4 linked regions of the Schizosaccharomyces pombe genome follow. The gene in region 1 interacts genetically with each later gene. Each region holds a gene or a part of one and is shown in the gene's direction. Other genes may lie near its edges.

Region 1 (3,721 bases):
TTTAAAACATTTTTTGAATGTTGCGATTTTATTCATTCTATAATTTACCAGTTTTACGACAATCCCTTTTAAGCATTCTTTCCCACCAACCCATATCATAGAGCCCCTTTTATATGCTTATTGCTCATATCGAAAATGTCTTCGTTTTTTGGGTTTGTTTATGAATTCGTGAATTTTTAATTTGGTCATAGTTTTGACCATTAAGTTTGTTTTCCAAAAATGCTCTTTCCTTATCTACTTCGTTTATGCTTTGGAAAATTTCTTCTAAATAATATCTACGGGACTTCCTAATTCTTAAAATTGCAAAATCCGTCCGTGTTCTAAGTATTTATTTATTTTACTATTGTCTAAGTATATCGGAATGATTCTCAGAGCTTTGCACTTCTTTTTCCCTAAATTTTCTATTAACTTTTATCTTTTTGTTATTGTATTAACTTACAAAAGTAATACCGGTTCATCATGCAAAATTCCATGTTTTAACAGTTGTCATAACCTCTATCTTTTCTGTATAAGAAAGGGTAACTGTAAACCACAGTGCTATTGTTGCCTAATTGTTTCTACGTTTTCTTGAGTATTAAATACTTATTAAGAAGAAGCAAAAAAAAAAAACTTGATGAAATTATTCTCCTTTAGAAACCCTTGCTCATTTTTTATCTAGTTCGTCCTGTTTATCTGCTATGCCACAAGTACAAATTTCGGGAAGCAATATGGAGTGCCTATTTTCATTATTGTTTTCCATTGATGTCATTAGAATATTATCGTTATTTGTACATCAGATTAATTGCTATCTTCTGTTCTCGCAATAAGTTAAAAAAGCTATCACTATTGTCTTGACGAAGTATTGCACCATAATAAATGACTATTAATGAATCAAGCAAACACACTACATATGGCAACTTTTAAGCTTAAAAAATTCGTTAAAGACCCATTTGGATAGGTAGCATTTTCGTACAATTGTATGTTCTCCAATTTTATTTTTTCATTTGCAAAAGCAAACCACTGTCAGTTTCTCTTTAGGGCTGGCACAAGGAAAGCATATGCTAACATATACATCGAGCAGATAGTGAGTTAGACTACTTCTTCATGTTTAGTGTTGCAAATGACTTAGTAATTCCTGATTTGAAAATCTGTAAACTAGAAACAATCTTAAATTGGATTGGAGGATATTTCAAACTGTCTTATCAAAATTAAAATGAAAGTCCTTCTTGTTTATATATATACCTTTTGTATAAAAAGGTCAGTTTCATTCATATTTTTAACATTAATGTTATTATAAATAGGTTTAAATAATCATCAAGTTAACAGTTGGTCGCATGATGTAGTCGGTTATCATGTCGATCTAATAAGTCGAATGTCGCCAGTTCGAACCTGGCTGTGACCATGTTTTTTAATTACGTTTTCTCTCTTGACAAAGGAGTTGGCAAAACGAAATTATAAGTACAATATTTATTGAAACAGTTGATATACATATTTTTATAGAAAATTAAAACTATAGAAATAAATTAAGTAACCGCTTGATCTATGGCTCTTAGTTGTCGTATGTTGCATTTGAACTCGAAAGAGTTCAAATATATTTACTTTTCTTTCAACTTTTCTGTAGACAAGAACATAAGTTGTTTAGGAATTTCAAATTTCGATCCATCTTTACGATTTACCAATTCAGTCCGCAAAGCTCGCGTGAGTCTTCTCTTACACCATTTTATCAGAAGGAAAGTCTTCAGTAAGTATTTTTTAGCAGTTAACGAAAACACATATACTGTTTCGCCTTGATATTACCCATTTATTGAATGTATGTATCATTTCTTCAGAAAACAATCTCGCTTAGATATAGCTTATTTGAATTAAGCTATTGATTTTTTACACTGTAACCATACGCGCTTTGCATAATTATCTAGACAATGCAAAGAATGCTGAACGCGTCCAGAAAGTAAAAAAAATGAATTCGAATGATAAAAAAAAAGTTGTTAGATCATGGATTGAGCAATTTGTTCATGATTTTGTTGAGCAATTAAGTAAGCCTACCAAAGATTCAGTAAATGTTGCTTTGAAAAGACGAAAGCACAATTCTTGGAATGGCAGCTTAGATTCAAAGGCCAATGAAAGACAAAAAGTTAAGGTTTTTTCATTCCCCAGGAATGAAACAACAATTGCTCAACTATTCAGGGTTTTAGATTGTGTTCATGAAGCTGTTATTTCGGATACAGTAATCACTAAGCGGTAATTGCTTTGTACTATACGCCGAAAATTCAGATTTAAGTTCTAATTACATTTGCAGAGATATTTATTACAGAGATGTAGATTTATTCAAGCGACAAACCGTAGTCGATGAGCTGCTTGGAGATATTTCAAACACCATTGGTTGCTCCAGGTCCGACCTTAACGTTGTAAGTCATTTCTTTGGAAATAGATTCATTAACGATTAATTTGATCTTAGGAAGCATCTGCTAAAGGATTGGTATTTGGGTCCATTCATATTGCTCTTGAAAACGGGACAGTAATTACTGCTACTAAAGTAGGTTCAAGTTTTAATAACCGTAAAAATTGTTTTTTCTAACTAAGAATTTTACTAAATACAGCCATTATTAATCTCTCACCATCGAATTTCATCAATCACTTCCACAGCAAAATGGGTCTTGGTCATCGAAAAGGAAGCGGTATTCCAAACGCTAACCGAAGAGGCTTTAGCGGATACAATAATTGTTACAGTAAGTGAGAATGCTTCCTTTTCAATGATATTGATGTTAGAGTGCTAGCTAACTAATTGCTTGTAACAGGCTAAAGGATTTCCAGATTTGATGACGAGAAAATTTTTAGTTAAATTAGCCAAAGCCCTCCCGGATGCTAAATTTTTTGGTATTTTTGATTGGGACCCCCATGGCTTATGCATTTATTCCTGTTTCAAGTACGGTTCTAATGCCTACAGTCATGAACCGCACAGTCAATTACGAAATTTACAGCTTTTAGGCCCTCTGTATGAGGACATTTTTAATAAAAACCAAGAATTCTCTTTAAAATTGAATAAAAGGGATATTAAAATGATTACAACATTATTACAATTTGAAGGCTTCCAAAAGGAGCCCGTTGTTCGTGAACAGCTACAGCGAATGCTGTTTATCCAGAAAAAAGCGGAAATACAAGCAATTCTAGAATTTCCTTCATGGATCAAAGGAAAATTAGCTGATGCCGACAAAAGTGGAAAGCACTCAGTACGTTAAGTTCTTGGATAGTTCAACCTACTTTCACTACACTCCCATAATAAAGCCTCCAACATGGATGACTTGCTAGATTTCAATTTTTACGATAAATCTACACCATCTAATCAAAATAATTACAGTAATAATAATAGTAGAACGCCATCCTACTCCCTTCCCGCCCCAGTAGCCCAGAAAAAGAATGCACAAATTCCATTGAAAGCATCAAAGCCCGAAGACCCTTTTGCTAATTTATTTCAAAAGAAAACGGATAATAAAATTTCCTTAAAAGAACTAGAAAGGCAGAAAGTTGGAACTCCGGACTCCAATTCCACCCCCAAATCTTCAAATTACGATCCCTTTGAAAACCTTGAAATTTTGCATCAATTATCAAATACTCCTAGAGATAAAGATGCAGTTATTCATGATAAGATTGAAGAAAATAAAAGGCCGATTTCACAACCACAAGTATCGGCTTCCGAGAAAGTAACTTTAAAGGATTTGTCTTTAGAGCCGCATCAGCCTGTCAG
Region 2 (3,700 bases), on another chromosome or scaffold:
ACCTGTTCTGCGAAGAGACTGTTCGACCGCTTTCCAGGTACGTTCAAATCCTTGTAAGGAGTCAGGAATCTTAGTTATTAAGGTGATATCTTCACGTTTAATATTCACATTTTGATGGCAGAAATCTTGAATGGCTTGTTCACATTCTTTTTCATTTCGATATGTAATTGCTGAATCAATTACGCGAATACCAAGCGAGAGTGCCTCAATTACTTGCTGGTAGCAATCCTTAAGTTGATATACACCAAAGCAAAGTTGTTCCTTTTCAAAATTGGTTTGAGAAGGAGAAAATGGTTTCATTAACGTAAGTTGAGGTAGATGAGAGAGCTCAATGTATAGACAAAAATATTTTCTAAATCCCTAAACCTTTAAGTAGGAGATTAAAGGAAATTTTTTATATATTTAGGATAATTGTAAAGAATTATTCAATGGTTATATAGCTAGGCCAGACAAGTTCATCCTCAATAATACGTTTAACTTTTTCCGATACAAATTTCTCGACTTTAGCAACATTTTTTAGCAGCTGTTTATTAGATTCTCCAATAATACTTTCCACTGTTAAATCTCGAATAACACTTGATGCATGCTCTCCAGTTCCGTGCAGCAATGTATCAACGAAGCATAGATGCGTCCGCTTTCCCATTTTAGCCAAAACAGCAATGGCATCGATGGAAATCCTAATAAATGAAAGTTTGAATGGAAGAACTGCAAATTCAGAGTTCGGGTAATTCATCGATAGAACCGCTTCCAGGCTTAGATTTGCGTCTCCGTCATAAGATACGTGTGCAGTAACTTGGAAATCGTTAGAACGATCTCTTTCTTGATGATTATCCATTGGAGTACTTGGGCGACTTTCAGGAATTGGGCTTGTGAGTCCACTTGCAGATAGAATCCCGGGTGAATTAAATGCGGGATTAAAATATGCTAGTCTTGAAAATGGATGTTCAGCAGCGTAAGGTGGAAGATCCGTAAGCACTGGTGAAACATTATTGCGGGAGCATTGATCACCCTCTAGTTCTTGGTTAGCTAATTCGAAAGCTTCATTTTCATAAAATTGGGGATCAGGATCGCCGATTTCTTGAATAGTAATCTGAGGTGAGACTTTGCCGAAATGGAAGTCAACAACCTTTAAATGCTTTATATAAGATGGTAGCGACAAATTCGAAACTTGTCCTTCGAGAAGATGTAAAACTTTTGCTTCTAATTCTGAGTCTAACTTTGACCAATCAAAGTCAATAGACATTGTTCTGCAATTGTAAAAAAAAAATACGAACTCTTGAATCTCTCAATGACGATTGTAGCAAGTTTTCAAAATTTAAGTAATTTCTTCGTCAACTTGGTTAATGAAATAATATTTAAACCGGTTCTCTAAATTTTATACGAAGACGGCATGAATTTGATACTTTAAACAAAATCCTCCAGCAATTTTAATGTCCTTTCCTTCAATGTTCTTTTTTACTCATCGAGAATTGCAAGTGAATTTTTAAGATATCTATTTATCTTAAATATTACCTTCTGTAGGTACCAAAATCTTTTCTCCTAGTATTGTCAGTAGAGTTAGGTGGTATTCCCAGATTACCTTCTAACAAAGCCTACGCGGTTTAAAAAAGGTTAAAAAACAAATTTGTAAATTAATAAACCTTTTAGTTTATTACTATCGTAATTTGTATAAACATTTAATTTTTTGGAACCACCAGTCATGTGCTTCAGTCTTCTTCTACCTAAGTTCTTGTTGCTTGCTGTTATTTTCACCTTCTGCTAGTAAAACGTTTTCAACGTTTATCTGGAATTTGTGGTATTTCTTCATTTCTATAACAATTAATATTCAATTCATTTAATTATTTGAAGTTAGAGTTTAAACATTCAACTATTACACTCAACGCGTTTGTTGACAAAAGTTACGCGCTTCATTGCATCTTTGTTATAATTTAACATTCACTCTTTCATCTTCGAATTAGTACTTTAAAACGATTTAACTGAAAATGTCGCAAACAATTAACTCTGAACTCAATGAAAATGCTACTTCACAGTGTAAAGAAGATTTGAAAGTTTCCCTAAGCGAAAGTGATTTACGTGACTCACAGGGTCAGTTAGGAATAGAAAACCCTCCTAAATGCAATAACAGTGGCAATCACTCAGATAACCTAGGTTTTATCGAGCAGTCAGAAACAGTACATCCAGAGAATGAGAAGGCTTTGACGCCGGACCTGCGAGATACAAAAATACATACTTCTTTACCAATTACTACACCTTTTTCAAAGAAAAGGGCTCGAGAAGCCAAAAATATACTTCTTAAGCCGTTCAAAAGCCCCTTAAGACAAACTGCCAGTCCTCAAGTTGCAGACACTAATCTAAAACCATCGTTAGCTGTAACAAATCTTAACTCTGATGAAACAAACACTTCTTCAGAACCTGTTACTTCTCCCTTAAGAACAACGCCTAATTCAATAAAACGGCAAAAACGACTTTTCAAGTCACCTATCTCTAATTGCCTTAATCCAAAGTCCGACCCTGAAATCACACAGTTGCTTTCTCGTCGTTTAAAACTTGAAAAAGAAGTCAGAAATTTACAAGAGCAGCTCATAACCGCCGAAACTGCACGAAAGGTTGAAGCCAAAAATGAAGATAAAGACTTGCAAACGTTGATACAGAAATGGAAAAATGCTGCTCAGCAAGCCGCTGAAGTACTTTTTAAACCAATGGCTGAACGTATTCGTTTGGCTGGAGGTGTTACTCAGTCCTTTCGTATTGAAGAAGGTGAAAATAAAGGGCAAATTCAGGAAGTACGAACTGAATTTACAATGAGTATGTTTCTAAATCAGTTTGGTGTTCCTGTTCATTTGATGTCTTTTGATGAAGAAAATGGTGATTGGAAATCGTAAAGGACTCCTTACTATTGTTAAAAAAATTTTCGTTCGTACTAGTTAGAAAACCTTTAGTACGAACTTAAATATGTTTAGCTAGCTTACACCAAAATCAAGGGTATACTAATTGAACGTACAGAGGTACCTTAATCGTTTACATACAAATTGCGCCGAGCTGGTATCGAAATTCTTTACATGTAACAATGAATCGTTCCAGGCTGAGTTTATGACTTTAATTTATATAATTATTAGCATTATACAATAACATGTCTCATTAATTTGAAATTTCTTGATTTTGAACCTTCTGGTTCTAAATTTTTTCTGGAGATATTTAACATTCAAACAACAAAAGTCGATTAATTGGCTGACAGACAACAAATATAGATCAACCAATTGAAAGATGAAAAACAAAATTTATTCAAAGCATGATTTAATCACCGACGAACCCTAACATACATATATTTTTTATTCTGCATCCATCGAGCAACAAAATTTTAAATTAGAACGCAAAAAAATCGAAGATACAATTTTTATTAAGCGCGGTTTTGTCTACGGATGATTCGCTCACGTCGTTCTTGAAGTCGATGCTGTTGATGGCGTCTCATTAAAACCAGTCCGACAACTACCACAATAAGCGTGACACACGCAGTCTCCAAAAACCTTCCATCAATGTAATCATAAGTGAAACGAATATCATTATAGGATTCACCCATCTCTTCAGTATTAGGCGAGGGCAAGGACTCAGACGTTTCTTGAGGGTCAGGTTGTTGTGGTGTACGATCTACTTGTAGTGTTGGTGGTTCTGGGGGAAGTTGTGAGTCCGGACCTGCCGGGCT
Region 3 (3,722 bases), 1.2 Mb from region 1:
AGACCAACCAAAAAACAACGACAACAACAACAAATGTGTAACAGATAAAAATAGTTCAACCCTTTGAGCTAATGCAAATAAACTTGAAAAAGAAAAGGAGAAAGAAAAAATGAATTGATTAACACGCAGCTACGAGAACAACGAATGAAACAAATAGAAAAAAGCGTTAAAAACGAAATCGAAAACAGACAATAATATGAAAGAAAAACAAAAAAAAATTACGTTTCCTTTCACTTAACGAATGAGATTGGGATTTTGAAAAGACAATTTTCAAAAACAACGATCGATACAGAAATTTTAGATCTTGTCTTTTTTAAGGTACTTCTACAAGTGAAGAATCGATTTATCTTCTCTTTGACACCAAATACGCTGGTTTCGACGACGATTCAAGCTAACTTGGGTCTCGCGCTGACTGATGGGAGTTGGTAGAATTATATATGCAACATAATGGCCGTGTAACCGTTTGTTTATGCTGAAAATCCGTAAAAAAACATGCTACTTGATCACTTCAAAATTACACTTTTTTATCCAATCATATTTTTCAGATACTACCTTATTGTTCTTTCTGGTCAAGGTGAATTAGCCACTAAGCCAATGAGAAATCCAATTTTGTTACCTGAGAATAGGGCGACATCGTACGATTCGAGGGTTTGTGAGGTGAATGACTGCGGGGCTTATGTTGCGATCGAACGATGGCACGTCCATTGGACCGAGATAATACACATGTTTACCGTAGCTCGTAACGCACATTTAACAAACTACTTGCTTCTACCCTACTTTATCACCTAAAAATAAAAATGTGTCAACATGTGCACGTCTACTATACCTTCTACTATTTGTTCGGTAAACCACCAACCGTGCCTCCTTATACGTCTTCTCCAAACATGTAATTGGATTCGAACAACTTTAGCTCGACAAGTCGTTTAGCTTACGAACATCCAAAAGCTTATCTAATGACCTAACTAACTCGCTCTTTTTGGTCGCATGACTTTGCATACGATTGTTTAGTAATAAAAACAATAATCCTTTTCACACCTGTTTTTACCCATGGGAAAGCGGTTCCCAAAGTTTGTCACTTACTCCCATATTCTAATCTAGATTAAAACACATTTAGCTGCGAACATGGCACACCGGTTAATACCCAGCCATAGTTGAAATTAGTAGACAAATTGACTGAGTATCTCTTATCAAAAGTCAATACACATTTTGTTTGCGCTGACATTAAACATCGTTGCTCTTATGAATGCTATGTGTGTGTGTGTGTGTATGTGGAAATGTGTTAGTCAGTCAGTGTTTGCTTGAAATTCGCTGTGTGAAAATAATAAAGTGAAAAATAAATAAAAGGTTGTAAAACCGAATTCGTACAGTAAGGTGAGCGCCGACAAAAGCTCTTGAGAAAAAAAAAATCATGCTGCTATCAGTATTCGAGTCTTTTCGATTTCGTGGCAAAAGGAAGTTTTCCTCACATGTTTTTGTGCGACAATAGCCAACCCCATTCACTTAATTCCTTAATTTCCTCAAGGGTCAAAAAGATTAGGATAGCTGAATAACGTTTTGCATTGCATTATGTTGCAATACGATAGTAAGACATTATAGGGTATATATCATAGTTGGAAAGTGCGGATGTGCATTTTAGCAGACTACGTTATCATTCAGTAAATGTTTGGGATCTAAACTCTCATTTCTCCAAAAGATTAGAAAGCATCTACTTCTTGCATCACAACAAACTTTTAAACTCCATATTTGTTCAAACTAATTAATAAATTTTTAAACAATGCCTCCCAAGGGACTATCGCTTGCAGAGAAAAGAAGAAGATTAGAGGCCATTTTCCATGACTCTGTAAGTTCGTGATATGATTGTTCAAGTGCCAAAACATGATTTTTGCCCATTCGTGTCTCACTTTCCACATTGCTAATCTATGTTTTTTTTATAGAAAGATTTTTTTCAACTAAAGGAGGTGGAAAAGCTGGGCTCTAAAAAGCAAATCGTTTTGCAAACTGTAAAGGACGTTTTACAGTCTCTCGTTGACGACAATATCGTCAAAACGGAAAAGATTGGCACTAGCAATTACTACTGGTCTTTTCCCTCCGATGCTAAACGTTCAAGAGAGTCAGTTCTCGGATCTCTTCAAGCTCAACTTGATGATTTGAAACAAAAATCTAAAACTTTAGATGAAAACATTAGTTTCGAGAAATCCAAAAGGGATAACGAAGGAACCGAAAATGATGCCAATCAATACACTTTGGAACTGCTACATGCAAAAGAATCAGAACTAAAACTTCTTAAAACACAACTTTCAAATTTAAATCACTGTAATCCTGAAACCTTTGAATTAAAAAATGAGAATACTAAAAAGTACATGGAAGCTGCCAATTTGTGGACCGATCAAATCCATACTTTGATAGCTTTTTGTCGAGACATGGGTGCCGATACCAATCAAATTCGTGAGTATTGCAGCATTCCAGAGGATTTGGACGATCTGCAACTACCGATTTTGTGAACTTGACATGCTTCCTTAATTCAAAGAGTTGTTTTCCTTATTAATATTTTAAAATTTTATACATTTTAACAGTTACATATAAAATAGCTTACTCGACGACAAGACTTAGCTTTTAAAAGATAAAATTATAATTAGTTGGAATAATATTAAACGAAACAAAACAAAAGTCCAAATTCCTCAAACTTATAGTATTTGTTAACTTTGAAAGAAAAAAAGCATGTTTCTTTTTTTATAGTTTTAACTTTTTTTATAAATTTACGTAAGGTCATTAATTAAAATGCGACTGTTGTAACGGTTCCAAATCCAATGCCATTTCTGGCCTCAACAATATGAAATCTAAAAGCTTCTTCATGAGTTAGATTATCGAAGTGATGATGTTTCATAACCACATAAATAAGGAACCTTTGAGTCAATTACTTTACATGGTTCATAATGATTGTTCATGAACGGATATCTGATCGCATAATCTAACTCAATTTTCCGTTTTAACAGTCATTTCATCACTGTATAGGATTTGACGCTCATGGTAAAATAATAGGTAACTATAATCTGGTTAGTATGTAAAAAAATAACAGCAAAGAGCCTACGCTTGAGAATTTAAGACCTCCGATTCCTTTACTTCCACAATTGTGGTGTCATCCAGCAAAAACCACTACAAAAATTAGTAAAAATTTCCATAAAAAATTCAAAAAAAATTTAATATACTTGATTTTGGTAGTATGTATAGGCAATATAGTGCCCTGTGTCGAGAGTTCCTTTATGACACACAACTGAGTATAATTGATAATCCACATCATCTTGATTAAAGTTGTAGCGCATTCTTAAAAATGCTGGATAAGATACTTGCTTATCTATTTTAGTTGACATGGCAAAGTTATTTTGTTCAAATCGTTTCAATTGCATGCAAATAGTTGGAGGTAGTTTGTCAAAGACCAATTGTTTAATAGCATTTTTTGACCCGCAACTATGACAGCTATATTGAACTTTCTCTTTGGAAACAAACCTAAAATAATATTTGTTAAAAAATCTAAAAACGAGCAAATTTTACCTTTCCAAACATCCTTGAAGTGTTGGCTCATTGATGTCTAAACTAATGTCCATCAAAGGATCCACAGCCACCCGCTCCTTCTTGCAATCTAGGCATGTAACAACGTTTTTCAGAGATCCACTAAAAATACGATGAATAGGACAAGTGCACGGCATTGATGTTCCTCCTCCGCT
Region 4 (2,962 bases), 2.0 Mb from region 1:
CAAGAGATTGAACGGTTTTTGCTAGTTCGTCGTTGGTTTCTGGTGTATCGAATTTCAAAGTAGAAAAATCTTTGCTAAAAATTGTTAGTAACCTAGATAGTTGTGATGACGTTGAACAGTCATATATTGTCTGAAACAACGTAGGTAATTATACAGAAGTTGACCAAACTAAAGAAAGAACGATTGTCACAAAGATTGTATATAGTTTTTGGAAAGAATACTCATTAAACGATCCATGCAACCATCCCCAACCTAGTTTTTACAACAAAGTACTTACTGCATAGCATAAGCATCTTCACCATCAGCATAATATTTGCTTTCAATCCCTTGAACGCTAAAATAATGTTAGAATCTCTTCAATGATGGCGAGTAAAAACATACTCAAATTGCAAAGTATCACGATAAAGATGAATAGCAGCTCTGTTGCTTTTACGAACATGAAGACTCATATATTTGGCGCCATAAACTTCGACCATGGCTCTTTCTGTTCATTTAAGTAGTTAGTATCTTTTACTTTTTTTAAAAAAATTTTGTTTAAGGAATGGACCGAAAATATCAAGGAATCAGCAGGAAGGAAACATTGTCGAAAACAAATTAGGTAAAAAAAATGAATTGTTGCAAGGAAAAAACCAACTCACCAAATGAACAATTCAAAGTATTAGCAGACCAAGTCTTGCACAAAATAAAATATATACATATTGGAATAATCATCGATAACAACTGCAAAAAAGCTTAAGATTTCCCTCTAGCTCCTCCTTGGATATATCCGTAATCTACTTCGCTCTCAATTAACACTTACGACTTTGAACCATGAGACGTTTAGCAAGTCCTAGATGACGATAGGAGCGCATTACTGAGACACTTGTGATATGACCATGAGGGATCCCATCCTTAGGCTCTTCTTCCATTTTTGCAAGAACATATCCTACGACACGTCCTTTCGGATCAGTAGCAACATAAGAAAGCATAGGCCAAGAAATAGCATGATAAAGGTCTACATTAAATTAGAAAATAAGAATCATTGTTTTAATACTGGAAGTTCATTGCCGTGCAGCAAGAATTACAATGAATTGAACTTACAATATTTTAACTGATAATTTTCAGGCAAGTTATGTAAGTTGCAGTTCTGCATCCCAGTAAGGTCACTTATACGAGCTGGCCGAATATCCATCTTGCCAATCGTTTAATTTTTAGCAATATCTATGATTTTTGTTTGTTAGTGGTTGGAATCAAATTTCCAGCATACCATATTTTAAGAAAGCGCAGTGAATGTAAAACGAAATTCAGGGAATGCAAAGCAACTACTGCAAAGCTTTTAGAAATGATAAGATTCATTTGATGTTAATATTATCTGTCAAGTATTTTAACGTCAAATATTTACTGCTTTGCTAAAAAAACTATGTTTTTTGGAGACTCACAATGTTCGACGTTAAGCTCCTTTTAAGTTACAAGCCGTTTAGTACACATTGCATAACCAAATTTCTAATTACTTAATGTTGCGTTTCCTAAGTTGTTTTGATTTTCAATGCAGATGATGAGAAATCCTTATTATAAATAGACAATGATGTTTACGATGGATTGCACACTTAAAGACATTAAATCAAAACTTTATATTAATTAGCCATTAATTATATAATCTAAGTTAATACTTATAATCACCATAACATATTTTGTTTACTGTGGAATCAAAAAGGATTAGCGATGCTTGATTGAATCCTTTATTATCTTAAAGTCACACTACCTTGGTTTTCCTTTAAAAGTTTTAACAGCAGCCTTGTGGTTTCACTTAGGCTAAGTAAACTCAACGAAAAAACATTAAGATTTGTTATTCGTAAATTCAGCTAGTAGACCTCGAACATTAGGTTTTCCCATTGGTAAAAATGTAAACAAAACCGCATTAATCATATAAAACATTAAGCGAAAAAAAACAATAGATTGCATTTATGGCTATAAATAATGAAAACGAATTAGAGTATAAATTAATAAAAAAAAACAAGAATCCTAAAATATCAAATTCAAAAAAAAAGAATTCGACACGTCCAGCTTTACAAGACAAAACTAATCAAACATTACCAATTCATCAAAATCAAGCCTTTTCAAACATTCTTCCATCTGATTTTTCAATAATTAAGACACCTGAGACAAAAACTGCTGACGATTTCCCCGTAAATGGTTACGAAGGCTTAAACATTTTAAAATTTGATCTCGAGTTATTTTACAAACTTAAACCTGTAGCAACGTCGACCCCGAAGTCTTGCATGAGGACGGGCTCCAATTTATTTTTAAATGAAACTGTTAAACATGTTCCAGATGAACGGTTAGTTTCAAACATCAAGAATACCCAAACAAAGGACTCTATCACAAGAGATTCTGCGTATTATCACAGAAAAACTATGACAGAAAGCATAATCAAAACACTCGCTGCATTTGATGCTGAGGTTGATGAGATTATATTGTTTTAAATCTCTAACTGACACTGGAATATAATCGTACTTTTCAAGTACTAACGCATCTATTTTTCATATGATATATTTATTAAAAAAGATTTACAAACCTGCTTTACAAATCAACCTTGACTACGATTTTATTTATACATATCGATCAGGACAAACGATAGCATGTTCAACAATATTTGACGCGAAAGGCCGACAAAGAAAAGTGGATAAAGTCAGCGCATAAATTTAACCTTCAAACATTTCTTTCATTTTAAAAAAGCAAGTAAGGAAAGCACATACTTTTCGGTAGTCTACATACTCGGTAAATTAAGATACGGATTATGCTATAATAAACAGAAAAACATCTAATTATCATTTAACACTTCTTTACGATGAAAAGACCGCATATTCCGTGGTTCAATCGTATATTTCATGAGATTATTCTGGTTTTCTGTACTGCATTTTTTCAACCCGGACCTCTCCATCAAAAATCCTATAAACATAAAGTATTAAAACTGCTCCTTGAA

Evidence for each region.
Region 2: of rec12 (region 1) and sfr1, changing one suppresses a phenotype caused by changing the other (phenotypic suppression), as found in Schizosaccharomyces pombe (one study listed by BioGRID).
Region 3: of rec12 (region 1) and mcp7, a mutation in one rescues a mutant of the other (synthetic rescue), as found in Schizosaccharomyces pombe (one study listed by BioGRID).
Region 4: of rec12 (region 1) and moa1, changing one enhances a phenotype caused by changing the other (phenotypic enhancement), as found in Schizosaccharomyces pombe (one study listed by BioGRID).

The regions. Positions count from the first base shown.
Region 1 is NC_003424.3:1,770,989-1,774,709, forward strand, and holds rec12 (DNA topoisomerase type II (DSB-forming) Rec12/Spo11), read left to right. Parts: upstream 1-1,936; coding exon 1,937-2,217; exon of another isoform or gene 2,218-2,275; coding exon 2,276-2,384; exon of another isoform or gene 2,385-2,434; coding exon 2,435-2,512; exon of another isoform or gene 2,513-2,576; coding exon 2,577-2,705; exon of another isoform or gene 2,706-2,774; coding exon 2,775-3,215; downstream 3,216-3,721. Other genes in the region: UBA/TPR/DNAJ domain protein Ucp7, read left to right, coding at 3,270-3,721. UniProt on the Schizosaccharomyces pombe protein: Required for formation of the double-strand breaks (DSBs) that initiate meiotic recombination. Required for crossover recombination and chiasmatic segregation of chromosomes during meiosis I.
Region 2 is NC_003423.3:1,578,706-1,582,405, forward strand, and holds sfr1 (DNA recombination mediator Sfr1), read left to right. Parts: upstream 1-1,750; 5' UTR 1,751-1,982; coding exon 1,983-2,882; 3' UTR 2,883-3,175; downstream 3,176-3,700. Other genes in the region: SPOM_SPBC28F2.05C (xylose and arabinose reductase), read right to left, coding at 1-300; ERMES complex subunit, membrane tether and lipid transfer protein Mdm12, read right to left, coding at 422-1,243; hrd3 (HRD ubiquitin ligase complex subunit), read right to left, coding at 3,398-3,700. UniProt on the Schizosaccharomyces pombe protein: Involved in DNA recombination repair and meiotic chromosome segregation.
Region 3 is NC_003424.3:576,747-580,468, forward strand, and holds mcp7 (protein Mcp7), read left to right. Parts: upstream 1-1,703; 5' UTR 1,704-1,774; coding exon 1,775-1,840; intron 1,841-1,934; coding exon 1,935-2,501; 3' UTR 2,502-2,973; coding exon of another isoform or gene 2,974-3,043; 3' UTR 3,044-3,088; coding exon of another isoform or gene 3,089-3,153; 3' UTR 3,154-3,202; downstream 3,203-3,722. Other genes in the region: SAGA complex ubiquitin Ubp8, read right to left, coding at 2,974-3,043, 3,089-3,153, 3,207-3,504, 3,550-3,722. UniProt on the Schizosaccharomyces pombe protein: Required for meiotic recombination.
Region 4 is NC_003424.3:3,728,016-3,730,977, reverse strand, and holds moa1 (meikin), read left to right. Parts: upstream 1-1,943; coding exon 1,944-2,462; downstream 2,463-2,962. Other genes in the region: NatA N-acetyltransferase complex catalytic subunit Naa10, read right to left, coding at 1-74, 278-334, 382-484, 800-994, 1,081-1,171; retromer complex subunit Vps29, read right to left, coding at 2,874-2,962. UniProt on the Schizosaccharomyces pombe protein: Plays an important role in chromosome segregation during meiosis I by allowing meiotic rec8 to establish cohesion at the centromeric central core and thereby promote the side-by-side structure of kinetochores at meiosis I.